3 linked regions of the Macaca mulatta genome follow. The protein of the gene in region 2 purifies or fractionates together with the protein of the main gene of each other region. This does not show direct contact. Links are inferred from orthologs where the notes say so. Each region holds a gene or a part of one and is shown on either strand. Other genes may lie near its edges.

Region 1 (5,596 bases), on a different chromosome or scaffold from region 2:
GGGAAAACAGAATGGAACTGTGGTCCAGTATCTTCCTGTAAGTTCTTATCTTGAACTTCAGAATTTTTCTTAAGTTGCTCGCTTTTTGAGGGAGTGGTTTGGGAGTATCTTTCTTGTTTTTCCTATTAAAAAGTAATTTATACTCATTGTAACAAATCCATCAGTGAGTGAAGAGTGGAGCTCTTCCCTTCCTTCCCATAGTCCTCCTTCCAGAGGCACCCACTGTGTTGTGTTGAGTAGGTAGCCTTCCAGACTTTTCTGGATGTTATACAAACAGTCTATGTGTAGCTGCGTTTTTGTTTTGTTTTGTTTTTTATGTAAAATGCGATAATACACTATGCACTGTTCCCCAACTCTTTCAGTCCATTCCATAAAAACAGAGCTGAAGGGAAAAGAGTGAAAAAGCTATGTTGATAATGCAGAATCACTCTGGGTTAAAGCACAGTATTTGTCTTTTCACTGAGTCCGTCTTTAAGGGTCTGTTTCTCTAACTATGGGCACTAAAGAAAATGGGTACTCTTGTTGTTGCATGTGCACTCTGTCATCCTCCCTGTGAATTTCTTGAGATAATGTTCACAAATATCCTTCAATATCAATTGAGTTGCAAGGAACCCACATGTATCTATTGAGCCTGGGTACGAAGGAGGGATTCACAGGTGGTGCTAAGGCCTTTGTTGTGCCTTCTTCCTCGAGACTGTTCTCTGGCGAGGAGGGGAGCAGAGTGCTGAATGTAGGTGGTGTGGGTTTAAGGTTATGTTTCTTATTTGTTATTATCGAAAGTTACATGAAATTTGGTACATAATCTTTTAGGGCACTAACCTGTAAAAAGATAATGCAATTTATTTAATTTTCTTGCTTTGCTGTTTGCCTTTTTTTTTTTTTTTTTTTGGAGAGATGGTCTTGCTCTGTTGCCCAGGCTGGGGTGCAATGCTGTGATAACGTAATGGCTCACTGCAGCCTCAGCCTCGTGGACTCAGGTGATCCGTCCGCCTCAGCCTCCTAGGTAGCTGGGACTACAGGCGCTTGCCACCATGCACAGCTAATTTTTGTATTTTTTGTAGAGACAGGGTTTTGCCATGTTGCCCAGGTTAGTCTCAAACTCCTGGGCTCAAGCAGTGTGCCCACCTTGGCCTTCCAAAGTGCCGAGATTACAGACATGAACCACCTCGCCCAGCCTTATTCCACTATTGATGATTATCTGCATCAGTGCTAGTGGTGTTGCTGCTGTGAATGGTGTTGCATTGACTACTCTCATTACCTATAGCTGAACATGTTCATGCGTTTTTTTTTTTTTTTTTTGACACTGAGTTTTGCTCTTGTCGCCCAGGCTGGAGTGCAGTGGCGTGATCTCAGCTCACTGCAACCTACGCCTCCTGGGTTCAAGCAGTTCTCCTGCCTCAGCCTCCCAAGTAGCTGGGATTGCAGGTGCCCGCCACAATGCCTGGCTATGTATTTTTAGTAGAGACAAGGTTTCGCCATGTTGGCCAGGCTATTCTCGAACTTCTGACCTCAGGTGATCCACCTGCCTCAGCCTCCCAAAGTGTTGGGATTACAGGCGTGAGTCACCACACCCGGCCACGTTCATACATTTCTGTAGGACAAAGTCCTGGAAGTAGATAGCACTGTTCTGTGTCTTCAGTCTCGCCTGGCCAAGGAGATGGAATAGGTGGCATCTAAGGAATAGATTAGATTTGATAGTTTGATTGGTTTAGGGATTGTTTCATTTGATACTTTATTTTGCCCTCCAAATCTCTTTCAGACTTTGCAGGAAAAAAAAGTCATTCCTTGTCCTCCGTTTTATGAGTCAGATCATCCTGTCAGAGGTAATAACTGCTTTTCTTATTGGGCTGACCTCTAATGACATGTTATGTATATTACGGAAATTCAAAATCATGTAATGTACCTGCTCAGTGAGGTGTTGGTGTTTGCTTTATGAATAATGTCACTATTTCAAAGAGCTAGTTAAGTCAGTGTAAATTATGGCCCTCTGGGTGACATCTGTGTTTCATGGTAAATGACATGAAATGGATCCCAACTTTTTATTACAATTCTTCATAATTTGCCCTGATTATAATCCAGCAGAAAAATTACCATTTGGGGATGAGTTTGGGCTTCTTGGATCTTTGTACCTGTGAGTTATTTTTAGTCAATGAAATTTGGGCCTTTGATTTTTTTTTTATCCATGGTGTGTATTATAGCATGCAGTGGCTATTCCAAACATAAGTTGCTTTTGGTTGCATCTGGTTGCTGTCATTTTTATGACCTACTGATTAAGATGTGTCTTTCAGTTCTGGATGTGCTGTGGATCGGTACATACGTCTTCACAATAGTGTATGCTGCTGCAGATGGGACCCTGGAAACGTCTCCGGATGTGGTGATGGCTCTCCTGCCGGTATGCATGTGAAAGAAATTTCATTGTTTGAGAATTAGAGAAGTCTTTTTTTTTTTTTTTTTGAGACAGAGTCTCGCTTAGTCGCCCAGGCTGGAGTGCAATGGCGCAATCTCGGCTCACTGCAAGCTCCGCCTCCCGGGTTCACGCCATTCTCCTGCCTCAGCCTCCCGAGTAGCTGGGACTACAGGCGCCCGCCGCCTCGCCCGGCTAATTTTTTGCATTTTTAGTAGAGACGGGGTTTCACCGTGTTAGCCAGGATGGTCTCGATCTCCTGACCTCGTGATCCGCCCGCCTCGGCCTCCCAAAGTGCTGGGATTACAGGCGTGAGCCACCGCGCCCGGCAGAGAATTAGAGAAGTCTTCTAATAAAGCTGGAGGCTTTGATTTCAAGGTTTTTTTTGTGTTTGTGGGGTGTTTTTTTTTTTTTTTTGTAAGTTGAAAATGTAATTTTAATAGTTAATTCTTCATCTTACATAGGAGCACAATAAAATACACCACAATCTGAAGAAACTCTTTTTTTTTTTTTTTTTTTTTTTTGAGATGAGATCTCACTCTGTCACCCAGACTGGAGTGCAGTGATGCGATCTCACCGCACTGAAGCCTGGACCTCCTGGACTCAAGTGATCCTCCCACCTTAGCCTTCTGAGTAGCTGGTACTACAGGTGCACACCACTATGCCTGGCTAATTTTTGTTTTTTTTGTTTTTTTTGTTTTTTTGGTGGAGATGGGGTTTCGCCATGTTGCCCAGACTGGTCTTGAACTCCTGAGCTCAAGTGATCTGCCCACCTAGGCCTCCCAAAGTGCTGGGATTACAGGTGTGCATCACCGCACCTGGCCTGATTTCAGGTTCTTTTACTTACTGGCAGTGATTATGCAACTTCAGGTATAAGGTTTCCATGCTGTACCATGGGCCTGGGGTCCAAAGTTAGAGTGTCCACAGCCGTGTTCTATTGTTTTGGTATGAAGTTAAAAAAAAAATGATTTTGCTTAAGTTATAAACTATGGGTCTTGGTTAACTCGATAAATTTTAGAAGAGCAAGACAGTATCTTGATTTTTAAAATTACTTTGTTTGCTCTCAAATTTTTAATGCCAACAATGTGCTAGGCACTGCTTTAAAGCTGAGTATATAGCAGTGATCAAGGTGATGGCCTTGCTTTTATGGTTTTAAATTTGTTGTTGTTGATAATTTTTACTTATTTTTTAGAGACAGAGTCTCAGTCTCTTGCCCAGGCTGGAGTGTAGTGGTGTGATCACAGCTCACTACAGCCTCAAATTCTTGGGCTTAAGCCATCCTCCTGCCTCAGCCTCCCAAGTAGCTGGGACCACAGGCATGCACCAACACACCCAGCTGTTTTTAAATTTTTCGTAGAGGTGGGGTCTTGCTTTGTTGCCCACACTGGTCTCAAACTCCTGGCTTTAAGCAGTTCTCCCACCTCGATCTCTCAAAGCACTAGGATTATAGGTCTGAGCCACTACACCTGGCTGGGCTTACATTCTAATGGGATAGTCAATACTAAGTGTGAGATCAAGGACTGGTAAGAGTGATGGAGAAAATAAAGCTGTGTTAGGGATAGATGATGACTGGTACGTATTTGAGATTGGGTGTCAATGGAGGCCAATTTGATATTTGAAAAAGATGCCTTGTTTTTAACTCTTGGGTTTCTAATAAGGTTGAATTTTTAAAATGTTTATCTAGATGCCTTCTTTTAAGATTAGTTAGAGGTTTTTTCTATTCTAGGGGATAATATTAACACTAGTATTTATTAACTGCTAGTTATGTTTCACGTACTGGGCTGGAAGTTTTATATGTATCATTTCATTTTACACTTACAGTAGCCTCTGAAGTAGGCTTAGGAGATCTAGCATACACATGAAAACACTAAGTATCAGGAAGGTTGAAAAATCTGCCTCTCTCATGGACAGAAAGTGGCAGAACAGAGTTTAAATGCGGTTCGCTTGATGGCCAATGTTTGTACTCCTTGTACTAAGTGCTGCCTTTATACCATGTCCCTATATCTGGACTTAGACTTTGAGTGAATATTCTCATACAACTTTAAATGATTTATCATTTGAGATTCTTTTACTGTAGGATCCGAGAAAAACCTAATTTTTTTCTTGCTTTGTTCATTGTAGAAAAAAGAAGAAAAGCACCCAGAGATATTTGTGAACTTTATGGAGCCCTGTTACGGCAGCTGCGCGGAGAGGCAGCACCATTACTACCTCAGTTACATTGAGGAGTGGTGAGCAGAGAGTCTGGACAGGGCATTCCTGCTCTCACTGGAAGATCACGCCTGAGTCATCTTGTCCCATGTTGAAATGTTTTCTGATTGATTGATTGATGGATGGATTGGCAGGGTCTCACTCCATTACCCAGGCTGGAGTACAGTGGCACGATTGTAGCTCACAGAAGCCTGGAACTCCCAGGCTTACGTGATCCTTCCACCTCAGCCTCCTAGATGGGACTACAGGCACATGCCACCACACCTGGCTTAGTTTTAAAGTTTTTGTTTGTTTGTTTGTGTTTTGGTAGAGATGGGATCTTGTTACGTTGCTCAGGCTGGCTTCCTAAAGTACTGAGATTATAGGTGTGAACTGTAGCACCCAGCCTGAAATCTTTTCTATTATAGAGGAAAATGGAGGCTGAGATACCTTGAACGTATTTTCAGCTTATTCTTGATAATGTCTATTATTTCTTTTTCCCCAATCTTGAGTTATTTATATTAAATACGTACTAATTTCGAAAATCTAATTTTCTCAATAACCCCTAGTGATGACTTATGAAAATACTGATACTCAAGGAATATATTAAAAGTTTCCTTCTGAGAGCAGAGTTGCCCACTGGAATGGAGATTACTCAAAGCAAAGCTTCCATCCCTCTAGCTACATTATTCTGCCTTTGGGTGGCATATTGATTGTGAACTCTGACTTGATTCTGTTGTGTCTTTCCTTTGTCTTCGTGTAGGTAGGCAGTGAGCTGATTCTACAGGGCTTTCTCACAGAAACTAAAAAGTTCAGCTTTATATCTAGAATCTTCCCACCTTTGTTAAACCAGATAGAAAACCTTACTCTCTCCTCGATATGTGGAGGCAGCCCTCACAGATGTTACCTGCAGACCCAAGTTAGAGAACTATTGCTGTATTTGAATGTAATGGTCTCTGGTTTTGTTCTTTAAGGGATTTAGTGCTGGCAGCATCTGCGGCTTCA
Region 2 (6,164 bases):
AAAATTAGTCAGGCGTGGAGGCAGGCGCCTGTAATCCCAGCTACTCAGGAGGCTGAGGCAGGAGAACTGCTTGAACCCAGGAGATGGAGGTTGCAGTGAGCCAAGATGCGTCACCCCACTCCAGCCTGGGCAACAGAATTGAGACTCCATCTCAAAAAACAAACAAAAAAAGACAGAATGACGTTAAAAATCAAAATGTGGATATACAGTAATTCCTATCGTCTACAGCAATGGTTAGCAGGAACCACAAGTCTAACATATCTTGGTATAAATCCCCTTAGCCTCTACAGAAATAACTTAGTTTCTACACTCAAACCATTCAAATTGTTTCAACCCTCAATGAATTGGGGGATTGAAATTACATCTACAATCATATTTACTGAATATATAATCTAGGAAAAAAAACTTTACGGGCAATATGCCTAACAAGATTCATTGGCAAGTTAAAAGCTGTAAAAGCCTGCCCATTCCCAAATAAAAAAGAATTCTAAGAGAAAAATGAGCTACTTCGCCAAAATATGTACTGGTTAAAACCTACTAGTTCATATGCAACGCTATCCTTTTAAGAGGATTCTACTCTAAGATGCTGGCACACATCCAACTTTTTGTTGCCCAGAATTATAAAAAATATCTTTCCTCTGCTTTTCTTCAAAGCCAATGCCACTCAAACCTAACTGGTTAAGTCAGTAGTCCTTAACCTTTTTTGGGGTCTAAGATGCCTGAGACTCTGAGGAACCAATAGCTCTAACCTAGTTTTTAAAAACTCATGATTCTGTATACAATTGTAGAGGATTCAGGACATCCTGAAAGCCATCCATGGCACCCCCGGTTTAGTGTATTTAGAACTAACAAGGTCAGATCTCCGCTTCTTCCCATTTTAGGAACTTTCATGGACCAGAAAATGAGTAGCTAATTTCTTTACACTGTATTTGGACAAACTAGCTTGGCAGGGGGGAAAAAAGGCGTTAATTCCTGGCTATTTTATAACAGCTTAAAAATGTCCATAATAATGGCAGCAATTTCAATTTTAATGCAAATGTCTCATTTAAATATAACGTCTGTTACAACAGATTAGAACTCCAAAAAATGAGTCACCTATGACTGACATGATGTAAAAATAATGTGAAACTCAAGAAATTAGGAGTTCAAGAATTGGTCCATTATTGACAAAACTGATGAGACTTCAAAATATTTTGTAGTAGGCATTAAACAAACTTTTTTAAACAGCAGGATACTTGTTACACACCACAAAAAAAACCCTTAAGATCTAAAAACTGAGAGGAAATATATATTCCACAAATGAATGTGTAAACTCTCCACCTTCAACTACTATAAAATTTAAAAGATCAGAACAATCTTAATTATTTGAGGCTTAAAAGCAATGTCCACAAAGCATCAAGATCTACGTATCAGAAGTTTTCAAATATTTCGGTTAATTATTGAACAAACTTTTCACCTATTTACTCCTACAATAGTTTAATGCCAAAACAAAAAAGGATTAAGAAAATGACTCTTCCAAGTTTCACTTTCAAATACACTGTCCTTATAGAATTCTCCGAACTAGACTGATGTGAAAAACGAGATTTAGAATAGAAGGATTTAAATACAGTAGTTTGCCATCCTTAGAACTAGCGGCTGTCTTCGAAATGACCTACCTATTCTTGAACTGTACATAGTACAGAAATGGCGGCTTTGTGGTCAATGCCAAGCACATTTAGTCCCCCAAACCAAGCCGCTTCCAAAACATTCTTTCCACTAACAGCAGCGTCCCACACTTAAGATATACAATCAGACAGCAAACAAGTCAAAGAGGGAGAGGTGTAACCACGAACGCTCATTCCCGTTGGGCTCTTCAATCCTAAAATCCACTCACTGGATAACATACACTAGGGATTATCCAGCTTAATGGATAATGTTGTGACTCTACAAGTGACCCCCAATGCCAGTTCCTATCCAAAACCCAGGAAATCATAACCGTTGCTTAATAACTTCACACTAGGTGAAAAAAAAAAACAAGTCGCTACAAGGCGAAAGACTGACTGCTCCTTAGGTGTGTGGGCAACCGCCTGCTTCATTCAGGAGAAACACACCTCACTAGGGCCCGCCCTCCCCTGGCTTCCCACCCGAACCGATTTGCAGCCCTTCTAACTATAGCACACGGGAGCACGCACTCACCCCGCCCATACTCGGAGGAGGCATTTAGACCAGGCGCCTTAAGTTCAACGCCCCTTTCTCTATGCAGCATGGCCTCGGCGTGATCAGAGGAGGTCCGGGCTGAGCCAGTAATGAATGCTTCCTCTACTACACCACTTCCTCCCACCCAACCCAAACTCAGACATCGGAATGAAGGAGAATCAGGGCATCCTCCACTGTACGAGGCCACCAGTAAATGGTTTAACCAACTTATCACACACAACCCCCTGAAAAGGAACTACAAGACGGAATCCCATGTGCAGGCCCCTGAAAAATTCATCTTTCCTACTTCACATGCCACTCTGCAAAAAACCGGAGAGCTTTCGAGTTTCCTTGCTGGAGGAACAGGGAGTCGGCAGCCCCTCCCTCCCCCATCCCAAGCTCTCCACCGAGGGGGCCACGTGATGCAGGCGGACGTTTCAATGCTGCTGCACTAAATATTTCTGGAAACTTCCACTCCTAATAATTTACAGAGATGTTCCTGAAATCACCCCAACTTCTCCCCAGCCCGTGGGGCTGGGGAAGCCCTTCCACCCCGCGCGGGGCCCCGTTTCACTATCACGCTCCTCGCCTTCCTCCACCGCCACCCGCACACGCGAATGACCCAGCAAGCGCTCCCCTCCCGCGGCCGCCTCCCCGCCTCCATCCCCCAGCGGCAAAAGCGGCTCCATTCAATCGCAGGCTCCGCTGTGGGCCCGGCGCGCCCCCGGCCCGCCCGCCGCCTCCTGGGCTCGCTTCCCGCGACCGCCGCGCCCCACGCTGGCCTCCTCCCGCCCGGCCGCGCCGCCGCCCGACCCTCGGCCCCAAAGACACAGTCGACTTACCCAGAGATTGAACCAACTGCTCCTTCCTTCCTTGTCGGGGGATTAGGGCCAGGGAAGGTGGGGAGGGGGAGAGGGGACGAATCAAGGTGGGTTTCACAGTTTTCCCACCTTAAAAAAAGAAATTAAAAAAACGGAGAGGAAAAGGGCAAAAAGAGCTCAATAATATTTACTATTTCAGGGACGCTTCCCCCCAACACACACACCCACCCGCCCCCCAAAAAAGAAGGGGAATTAATCTGGGGAATAAATGCTCCCGCCCGGCTGGGGAGTGAGGGAAGGGGGAGGGAACCGGGTCAAGTCCCAAAGATTCAGCCCCAGGGGGACCCTCCAGCCACAGGCAGCAGCAGAAGCGGCAGGAGTAGGGGGTGTAGAGTCCACACGGCCGGGGGGACGCTCTGCTGCCAGTTGCAGTCCGACTCCCCCCTACCAAAACACGGCTCCCTCTCTCACGCGGCTCCGGCGCTGGGCCCCCCCCAGGCTCGCCTAAACTTTCCCCCCTTCTCTTGCTCCTCAGCGACTGGTGGTTCCCCCCTCCCCCTCTGGGTGGTTGCACGGACTGCAGCAGCAAAGACTGGAACAGGCACCGCCGCCGGGGCTGTAGCTACTGTTGCTCTTGCTGATGCTGTAGCTCCCGCTGCTCCTGCCGCGGCCGCTGCAGCCGCTTCTCCCCCTCCTCCTAGTGCCTCAAACTCGGAACCGGTTGAAACCGGTTCAGACTGGGAGATTCCATCTCGGTTGAGTTTTCAGCCCATGGCGCCGCGGAGCGTTTGGAACCTGGGCCTCCGCCCCCAGCCCGCCCTCCTATTGGTCAGTTCCAGCTACAGCCGCGCCATGAGCCTATCTCTCATTGGCCTGAGCGCCAGTCAATCCCACCTCAAGGCTCCACACGAGCCCGCCGCTTCGGCCCCCGCCTCTTTTCAGCAGCGATTTGCCCGCAGAGTGGGGGAGGGGAAGTGGGGAGGGTCGAAAGGCAAGAGGAGAGGGGTGGAGGAGGAGGAGGTGGGACGAAGAGCAGGGCTGAGTAGAAAAGAGAGCGAAGGAAAGCCGCGTGGAGGATTCGTTCGAACGAGCTGTCAATCAAGTGCAGCCCGCCCTCGAGCTCTCGACTTCCCTTCCCCCTGCGGCCCTCACCCTCCCAGTGCCTAGTTCGCAGGCCCGGCCTTTCCCGCCCGCTCATTGGCTGGGCGCCTTCGGTGACGGAGAGGGTGGGGCGCAGCTCGTGAGCTAGTGGCGGCGCGAGTTTGATCGCGGCGCGCGGCGGTGTTCGATCTGCTTCCCGGACTCGGCCGGCCCGCCCCCACCGGCTCCCGCCAACCTGCGGGGGCCTGAGCCCGCGGGAATTAGGATCCGCCCCTCAGATGGGGGATGCGTTCGGAAAAGGGATGGCACACCCAGTTGTTTTGAACTCTCGGAGGGGTGGAGAAAGGAGGGAAAGGAACACTTCCGAGGCCAATTGTAGGCCCCAGACCTCTAATCCATTTTAGAGGCCTGGGTTGGGCCAGGTAGCTGAGAGAGAGGTTGGGGTGAGGCGCAGGGCGTGCATTCTTGGCGCCTCGTGATCTTCTCAGGGTCTCGGAAAATATATCGAAATACTTCTTGGGAAAGTCTTAAAATTTCAACTCTGCCTCCCCAGGCTGGAATTTGGCCGCTTCGACAACCAACCTTTCCTGAAAGCCAAAACATTGTAATCCCAGGTTATTGGTTTGACAGCGCATGTTTTGGCTGGGTGAGCTTGCATGCCAACTGCGTCCCACCTGGTGCCCTTGATCTGCAACACTCAGATTTTCCTTTCACCCTAGCGGCACTTCACATACTAAATCATCACCAAATAGTATTTTCTGTGAAAGTCACATGCACGTTGTCTTTCACGTGGTTGCGTCTCTTGTTTGTTCCCAAGCGTCCTCCAAATCAGCTTTACAGATTGTTCTTTGCTTAAGAGCAAATAGCCCACCAAAATTTACTAGGCCCTTTGTGCCACCAAGAGGTAGATAAATGGTTTATTGAAGTAATACAATTTTCTTTAGCAAATGTTCGTTCACGATGGACTATGACTAACTTCAAAGCACCACTTATTCTAACTCCCCCTCCAATAAAGAAAAACCCAACAACTCAATGTTTAGATGCACCAGAATGATTTTGGATGATTTTCAGACCTAAGTTTTTATTCATTACATAAATGAATAATATCAAGCCATTTTATATACATATATACATACATATATAAAGTACTATGTATGATATGTGATGTACAGTTGGCCCTCTATCCGTGGGTTCCCCATCCTCAATTTCAACCAGCCCTGGGTGGAAAATATTTTTAAAATAATACAATAAAAATAATACAAAATAAAACGCAATGCAGTATATTTATATAGCATTTACATTGTATAAGGCATTATAAGCAATGTAGAGATGATTTAAAGTTTACATCATATAAGCTATTATAAGCAATCTAGAGACTGAAGTGTAACGGGAAGTTTACAAATACAGTATATGCAAATACAGTAAATCCTCACTTAACATGGTCATGGAGAGGATCTTGGAAACTGCCACTTTAAACACAAGGATAGGCCAGGCATGGTGGTTCATGCCTGTAATCCCAGCACTTTGGGAGGCGGAGCTCGGCAGGTCACTTGAGGTCAGGAGTTCGAGACCAGCCTGGCCAACATGGTGAAACCCCTCTCTACTGAAGATACAAAAATTAACCTGGCGTGGTGGTGGGTACTTGTAATCCCAGCTACTCGGGAGGTTAAGGCAGGAGAATGGCTGGAACCTGGGAGGCAGAGGCTGCAGTGAGCCAAGATCACGCTACCGCAGTTCAGCCTGGGCAACAGAATGGGACTCCTCAAAACAAACAACAAAAAAACCGTAGAAGGACATATAACAAAATCAATTTTACCATAGGCCTGTAATCCCAGCATTTTGGGAGGCCAAGGTGGGAGGATCGCTTGAGCCCAGAAGTTCAAGACCAGCCTGGGCAACATGGCAAAATGTGGTCTCTACCAAAAATACAATAATTAGCTGGGCATAGTGGCATGCGCCTGTAATCTCAGCTACTTAGGAGGCTGAGGTGAAAGGATCACTTGAACCCGAGAGTTTGAGGCTGCGTGAGCTGTGATGATGCCATCATGCCACTGTACACTCCAGCCT
Region 3 (5,596 bases), on a different chromosome or scaffold from region 2:
TGTGGAAGAAGCAGTGCTGGCGAGGTGAGGTGGAGACGGAAGTCAGGGAGATGGGTGAAGACAGCAGGCCTCCTGGATCAGCCTCAACCCAGGGACATCCTTGACCCACTCGCTTCCCAGGACAGACACTTGATGACATTGGATCCAAGGAAGCAGCTGGTGGTGTGGCCCACATGAAGAAGCTGGAATCCTGGGTCTGGGCCTCAGCTCTATCTGTGGGCTTTCATCTCCCCACTAGTAAGTACCACGGATGCATGGAAGTGGATTATCTTTGGGGCCCCACCAGTTAGTTCTGCCTTTCAGGCCCCATGCAGACTTCCAGACCCAGCCTTACCCGGAAGGAGCCCCAGAGGAAGACACGGCCATCCTCGGTGAGGGCTGCTGTGTGACTGTCTCCTGCTGACACCTGTACCACCTTCTCTTGCAGCTCCACTTTCCCAGGGATCATCTCCGAGCCCTCCACTGATGTGTCCCTTCCCAGGGCACCCTCATCATTGCAGCCGAAGGAATAGACCTGTGCCCAGGATGCCCTCATTAATGCAAAGTCTGGCCTCGCAGTCCATTCTCATGTAGGCCACTCCCCGCTGGACTAGCCAGCTCCATTTCCACAGTGAACATGTGTGGTTCAAAAGCCCTGCCCCAAGCCACCCAATCCCAGGCCTTGTCCAACCCTATGCCAGCCCCCAACACCTACCTGGCCACTTTTGCTTAGACACACGGTGTGCATGCCCCCAGCCTCAGCCTGCACAACATCCTCTGGAATGGATACCAGGGCCGGCTTCTTCCTCTCCATCACATTCTCACCCAGCCCCAGCTGGCCCACATCGCCCTGGCCTAGTGTCAGCACCAAGCCGGGTTCTGTGCTGTGGGACCTGTGTGAGACTGAAGGGTGAAGAAGATAGACCCTGAGTGTAGAGGATGACTACAGCGAGGAGAGGTCGCAGGCTCTGCGATCAGACAAACCTGGGCGGAAGCCCTTGCTCTGCCACAGACCGTTAGTATGAACTTTCTGAGTCTAAGTTTTGTCATCTGTGAAATGGGGACAACAAAATACCTCTCTCACAGGATTTTTGTGGAGATTAAGAACTGAGGACATTATTCACATGAAAGGGGAGAAAGGGAAACAAGGAGACACTGGATACTGTGAAATGAATCTTGGTGGAGAGGGCAAGAGGGGCCGGGTACGGTGGCTCACACCTGTAATCCTAGCACTTTGGGAGGCCAAGGCGGGCGGATCACTTGAGGACAGGAGTTCGAGACCAGCCTGGCCAACAGTAGCCTGTAATCCCAGCTACTCGGGGGGGCTGAGGCAGGAGAATCACTTGAACCTAGGAGGCGGAGGTGGCAGAGCCGAGATCGCGCCATTGCCCTCTCTAGTCTAGGTGACAGAGTGAGACTCGATCTCAAAAAAAAAAAAAAAAAAAGAAAAGAAAGCTAATTATTATTATTATTATTAGTTTGAGACGGAGTCTCCCTCTGTTGCCAGGCTGGAGTGCAGTGGCGGCTCTCGGCTAACTGCAACCTCTGCCTCCTGGGTTCAAGTGATTCCTCTGCCTCAGCCTCCCGTGTAGCTGGGATTACAGGTGCCCGCCACCACGCATGGCTAATTTTTTTGTATTTTAGTAGAGACGGGGTTTCACCATGTTAGCCAGGATGGTCTGGATCTTCTGACCTCGTGATCCGCCCGCCTCAGCCTCCCAAAGTGTTGCGATTACAGGCGTGAGACACCGTGCCTGGCCGAAAGCTAATTATAATAGAATCTGCACCAAAAGCAAGGGAGACTACGTGGGTCAGAGCACAGTGCCCAATCTCCATCCTAGCCCTCCTCCATGCCCAGGCCGTCCGCCAGTGAGTAAGTTCAGCTCCCGGGCAAATCCACTGCAGAAACGGACTCCTCCCTCCGCCATCCAGTGGAAAGGCAGGAGGGGCAGGAGGAAGAGCGGCCAGCGGCATTTGCAGGAGGTGCGCACCAACCAGTGGGCGGCCCGGGGCCCTCTGTGGGCCAAAGGCAGCCCCCCAACCCGCAGTCCCGGGCAGCCAATGGCGCCCAGCCCCTCCCCCGAGGCTGTGGCACCGCTGAGGAGCCCGCGCTGGCAGCACAGAGGGCGCGCCGGGCGCGGAGCCACCTGGTCGGGTTTTCTGGTCAGGAGGGCTCGGCCCACAGGCACCTTGGCAGGAGCGGGCGCCAGGAATGCGGCGGGAGGCAGCGGCCCTCGCGTCTGCAAAAGACAGACACTGTCTGAGCGTGGGTCCACACTTCCCCTCCCAGTTTAGTGCTGGCTTTTCTTTCCTCCCTGTGCCCCTCCGGTGTCCCAGGAGAGAGGAAACCACAGCCACCTCCCTCAAATTCTGCCAGGCCATTATCTCATCTCATCCTCACACAGCCCAGAGCGGGTGGTGCTGCTCTGGCTGCCTCCATTTTATGAAGTTGATAATCCAAACTGCAGGATTAAGTGACTTGCCCATCAGCTAGAAAGTGGCAGAGCAAGGACTTGAACCCATGTCGTAAAGTCAGTGGTCCTAACCACAATGCATCACTGGCTGGGGTGAAGCCCTAGGGTCTAGTTTTTTTTGCCAGTACTGCCTAAGTGCCTTGGGAGGAGTTTCTGCCTACTTTGTGATTGCCAAAGAGTGGGATTCAACGAGCTATGGGAAACATTCCAGCTGGGTGGGGTTTCTGCTCATCCACACCCTTCAGTTTCAAGTGTCAGGAAGGAGGGAGCCCAGTCCCGGGTTCTCAGGGTTTCGAGGGGCCACCTGTACCCACAAAGAGGCCAAGGCCAACTTACCCTTCACCTTCTTGCTTTTGGGGATGGCATCTGCTGGGGGGGACCTTCTTTTAGCTATGCGCTTGGGTGACATCTTCCTGCCCTGAAAAAGTCAGTCAAATACTACATATCAGAAATGGCAAACATTTTCCTGGGCCAATTAGACAATATTTATCAAAAACCCTAGAAATAGGTTAAGAGGAATTGCCCAGCAATTCCACTTCTCAAAATGTATCCCAAGAACAGAATAATGGATGCACCCAAAGATCAATTACACAAATATTCTCTACTGTATTCTTCATAACATTGTAAAAACAACAAAAACAGAACCACCCAGGGGTTCAATAGTAGTGAACTAGTTAAATATGTGGTATATTCATGATAGAACAGTATGAAGTCATCAAAAGTGATGTTTTCAGAGATCAATCTATTGAATAGAAAGATGTTCCCCATTGCCAAGTAAAGCAGAATGAAAAACAGATGGCCAGGTGCGGTGGCTCACATCTGTAATCCCAACACTGTGGGAGGCCGGAGCGGGCGGATTACCTGAGATCAGGAGTTCGAAACCAGCCTGGCCAACATGGCAAAACCCCATCTCTACTAAAAATACAAAAATTAGCCAGGCGCAGTGATGGGCGCCTGTAATCCCAGCTACTCAGGAGGCTGAGGCAGGAGAATTGCTTGAACCTGGGAGGTGGAGGTTGCAGTGAGTCAAGATGGAGTCACTGCACTCCAGCCTGGGCAACAGAGCCAGACTCTGTTTCAAAAAAAGAAAAAAAAAGGCTAGGCGCAGTGGCTCATGCCTGTAATCCCAGCACTTTGGGAGGCCAAGCTGGGTGGATCACTTGAGGTCAGGAGTCCGAGACCAGCCTGGCCAACATGGTAAAACCCCAGTGCCACTAAAAATATATATATACACAAAAATCAGCCAGGCATGGTGGTGCGTGACTGTAATCCCAGCTACTCGGGAGGCTGAGGCAGGAAAACTGCTTGAACCCAGGAGGTGGAGGTTGCAGTGAGCCAAGATCACAACATTGCACTCAGTACTCCAGCCTGGGTGACAGAGTGAAACTCCATCCCCCCACCAAAAAAAGAAAAAAAAAGAAAGAAAAACAGCCTATCATCCTTTTTTTTTTGGAAAAAAAATGCATACACATAAAAAATATGAGAAAAATCTGGGGAAGAAAATATATCCCATATTAACAATGGTAACCTCTGGAAAATGGTATTATAGATAATAATTACTTGTTTCATTGTAACTTCCTATATTATCTAAGATGTTTAACAAGGAGCACTATATGTATTTTTCTTTTTTTTTTGAGACGGAGTCTCACTCCCTCGCCAGGCTAGAGTGCACAGGCATCTCAGCTCACTGCAACTTCTGCCTCCCAGGTTGAAGTGATTCTTGTGCCTCAGCCTTCTGAGTAGCTGAGATTACAGGCGTGCATCACCATGCCCTGCTTTGTTTTTTTTTTTTTTGAGACGGAGTCTCGTTCTGTCGCGCAGGCTAGAGTGCAATGGTGCAATCTCGGCTCACTGCAACCTCTGCCTCTTGGGTTTAAGTGATTCTCCTGCCTCAGCCTCTCGAGTAGCTGGGATTACAGGTGCCCACCACCACACCCAGCTAATTGTTGTATTTTTAGTAGAGACAAGGTTTCACCAGTTTGGCCAGGCTGGTCTCGAACTCCTGACCTCAGGTGATCCACCCCCTCCAACCCCCGGCCTCCCGAAGTGCTGGGACTATAGGCGTGAGCCACTGCACCTGGCCCAAATTTTGTATTTTTAGTAGAGACAGGGTTTCACCATGTTGGCCAGGCTGGTCTCAAACTCCTAATCTCAAGTGATCCACCTGCCTCAGCCTCCTGAAGTGCTGGGATTACAGGCGTGAGCCACTGCGTCCGACCAATTACATGTTTTTTGTTTTGTTTTGTTTTGTTTTTTGAAGCAGAGTTTTGTTCTTGTTGCCTATGCTGGAGTGCCATGGCACGATCTCGGCTCACCACAACCTCTACCTTCCAAGTTCAAGTGATTTTCCTGAATTTTGTATTTTTAGTAGAGATGGGGTTTCAACATGTTGATCACGCTGGTCTTGAACTCCTGACCTCAGGTGATCCACCCACCTCGGCCTCCCAAAGTGCTGAGATTACAGGCGTGAGCCACCGTGCCCAGTCACATGTATTTTAAAAAATTTTAAGTCTCGGCCGGGCGCGGTGGCTCAAGCCTGTAATCCCAGCACTTTGGGAGGCCGAGTCGGGCGGATCATGAGGTCAGGAGATCGAGACCATCCTGGCTAACATGGTGAAACCCCGTCTCTACTAAAAAATACAAAAAACTAGCCGAGCGAGGTGGCGGGCGCCTGTAGTCCCAGCTACTCGGGAGGCTGAGGCAGGAGAATGGCATAAACCCGGGAGGCAGAGCTTGCAGCGAGCTGAGATCCGGCCACTGCACTCCAGCCTGGGCGACAGAGCAAGACTCCGTCTCAAAAAAAAAAAAAAAAAAAAAAAAAAAAATTTTAAGTCTGTTGTAAAAAATTAAAGCATTCAAGAACAACATTAAGTGAAATATCCATCGTAACTTCATTCAACCCCATGTAAGCACCAGTAACTTTGGTAATGTGTTACTGTTAAAATCAGAGGGGGAGAAAAGCTATTATCTTTTCTTATGTGATTGATTTTTTTAGAGACAAGGTGCCACCACATCTGTAATCCTAGCACTTTGGGAGGTCGAGGCGGGAAGATCGCTTGAGCCCAGGCGTTCAAGACCAACCTGGGCAACATGACGAAACCCCATCTCTATCCAAAAAATTACAAAAATTAGCTGGGCATGGT

What was found. The genes of interacting proteins can lie anywhere in the genome.
Region 1: the proteins of XPO1 (region 2) and NUP214 purify together in Homo sapiens (affinity purification with western blotting; 4 studies listed by BioGRID and IntAct, with this or other methods). This does not show direct contact. The link is inferred for Macaca mulatta from reciprocal best matches to the Homo sapiens genes XPO1 and NUP214.
Region 3: the proteins of XPO1 (region 2) and RCC1 purify together in Homo sapiens (affinity purification with mass spectrometry; 3 studies listed by BioGRID and IntAct, with this or other methods). This does not show direct contact. The link is inferred for Macaca mulatta from reciprocal best matches to the Homo sapiens genes XPO1 and RCC1.

Annotation. Positions count from the first base shown.
Region 1 is NC_133420.1:16,415,054-16,420,649, reverse strand, and holds part of NUP214 (nuclear pore complex protein Nup214), read left to right. Parts: coding exon 1-37; intron 38-1,759; coding exon 1,760-1,823; intron 1,824-2,288; coding exon 2,289-2,392; intron 2,393-3,491; exon of another isoform or gene 3,492-3,687; intron 3,688-4,525; coding exon 4,526-4,632; intron 4,633-5,565; coding exon 5,566-5,596. UniProt on the Homo sapiens protein: Part of the nuclear pore complex. Has a critical role in nucleocytoplasmic transport.
Region 2 is NC_133418.1:63,194,942-63,201,105, reverse strand, and holds the start of XPO1 (exportin-1), read right to left. Parts: upstream 3,652-6,164; 5' UTR 3,018-3,651; intron 1-3,017. UniProt on the Homo sapiens protein: Mediates the nuclear export of cellular proteins (cargos) bearing a leucine-rich nuclear export signal (NES) and of RNAs.
Region 3 is NC_133406.1:212,368,360-212,373,955, forward strand, and holds part of RCC1 (regulator of chromosome condensation), read right to left. Parts: intron 2,872-5,596; coding exon 2,790-2,871; coding exon of another isoform or gene 2,768-2,789; intron 2,220-2,767; coding exon 2,127-2,219; intron 1,403-2,126; exon of another isoform or gene 1,198-1,402; intron 906-1,197; coding exon of another isoform or gene 883-905; coding exon 695-882; intron 515-694; coding exon 335-514; intron 1-334. UniProt on the Homo sapiens protein: Guanine-nucleotide releasing factor that promotes the exchange of Ran-bound GDP by GTP, and thereby plays an important role in RAN-mediated functions in nuclear import and mitosis.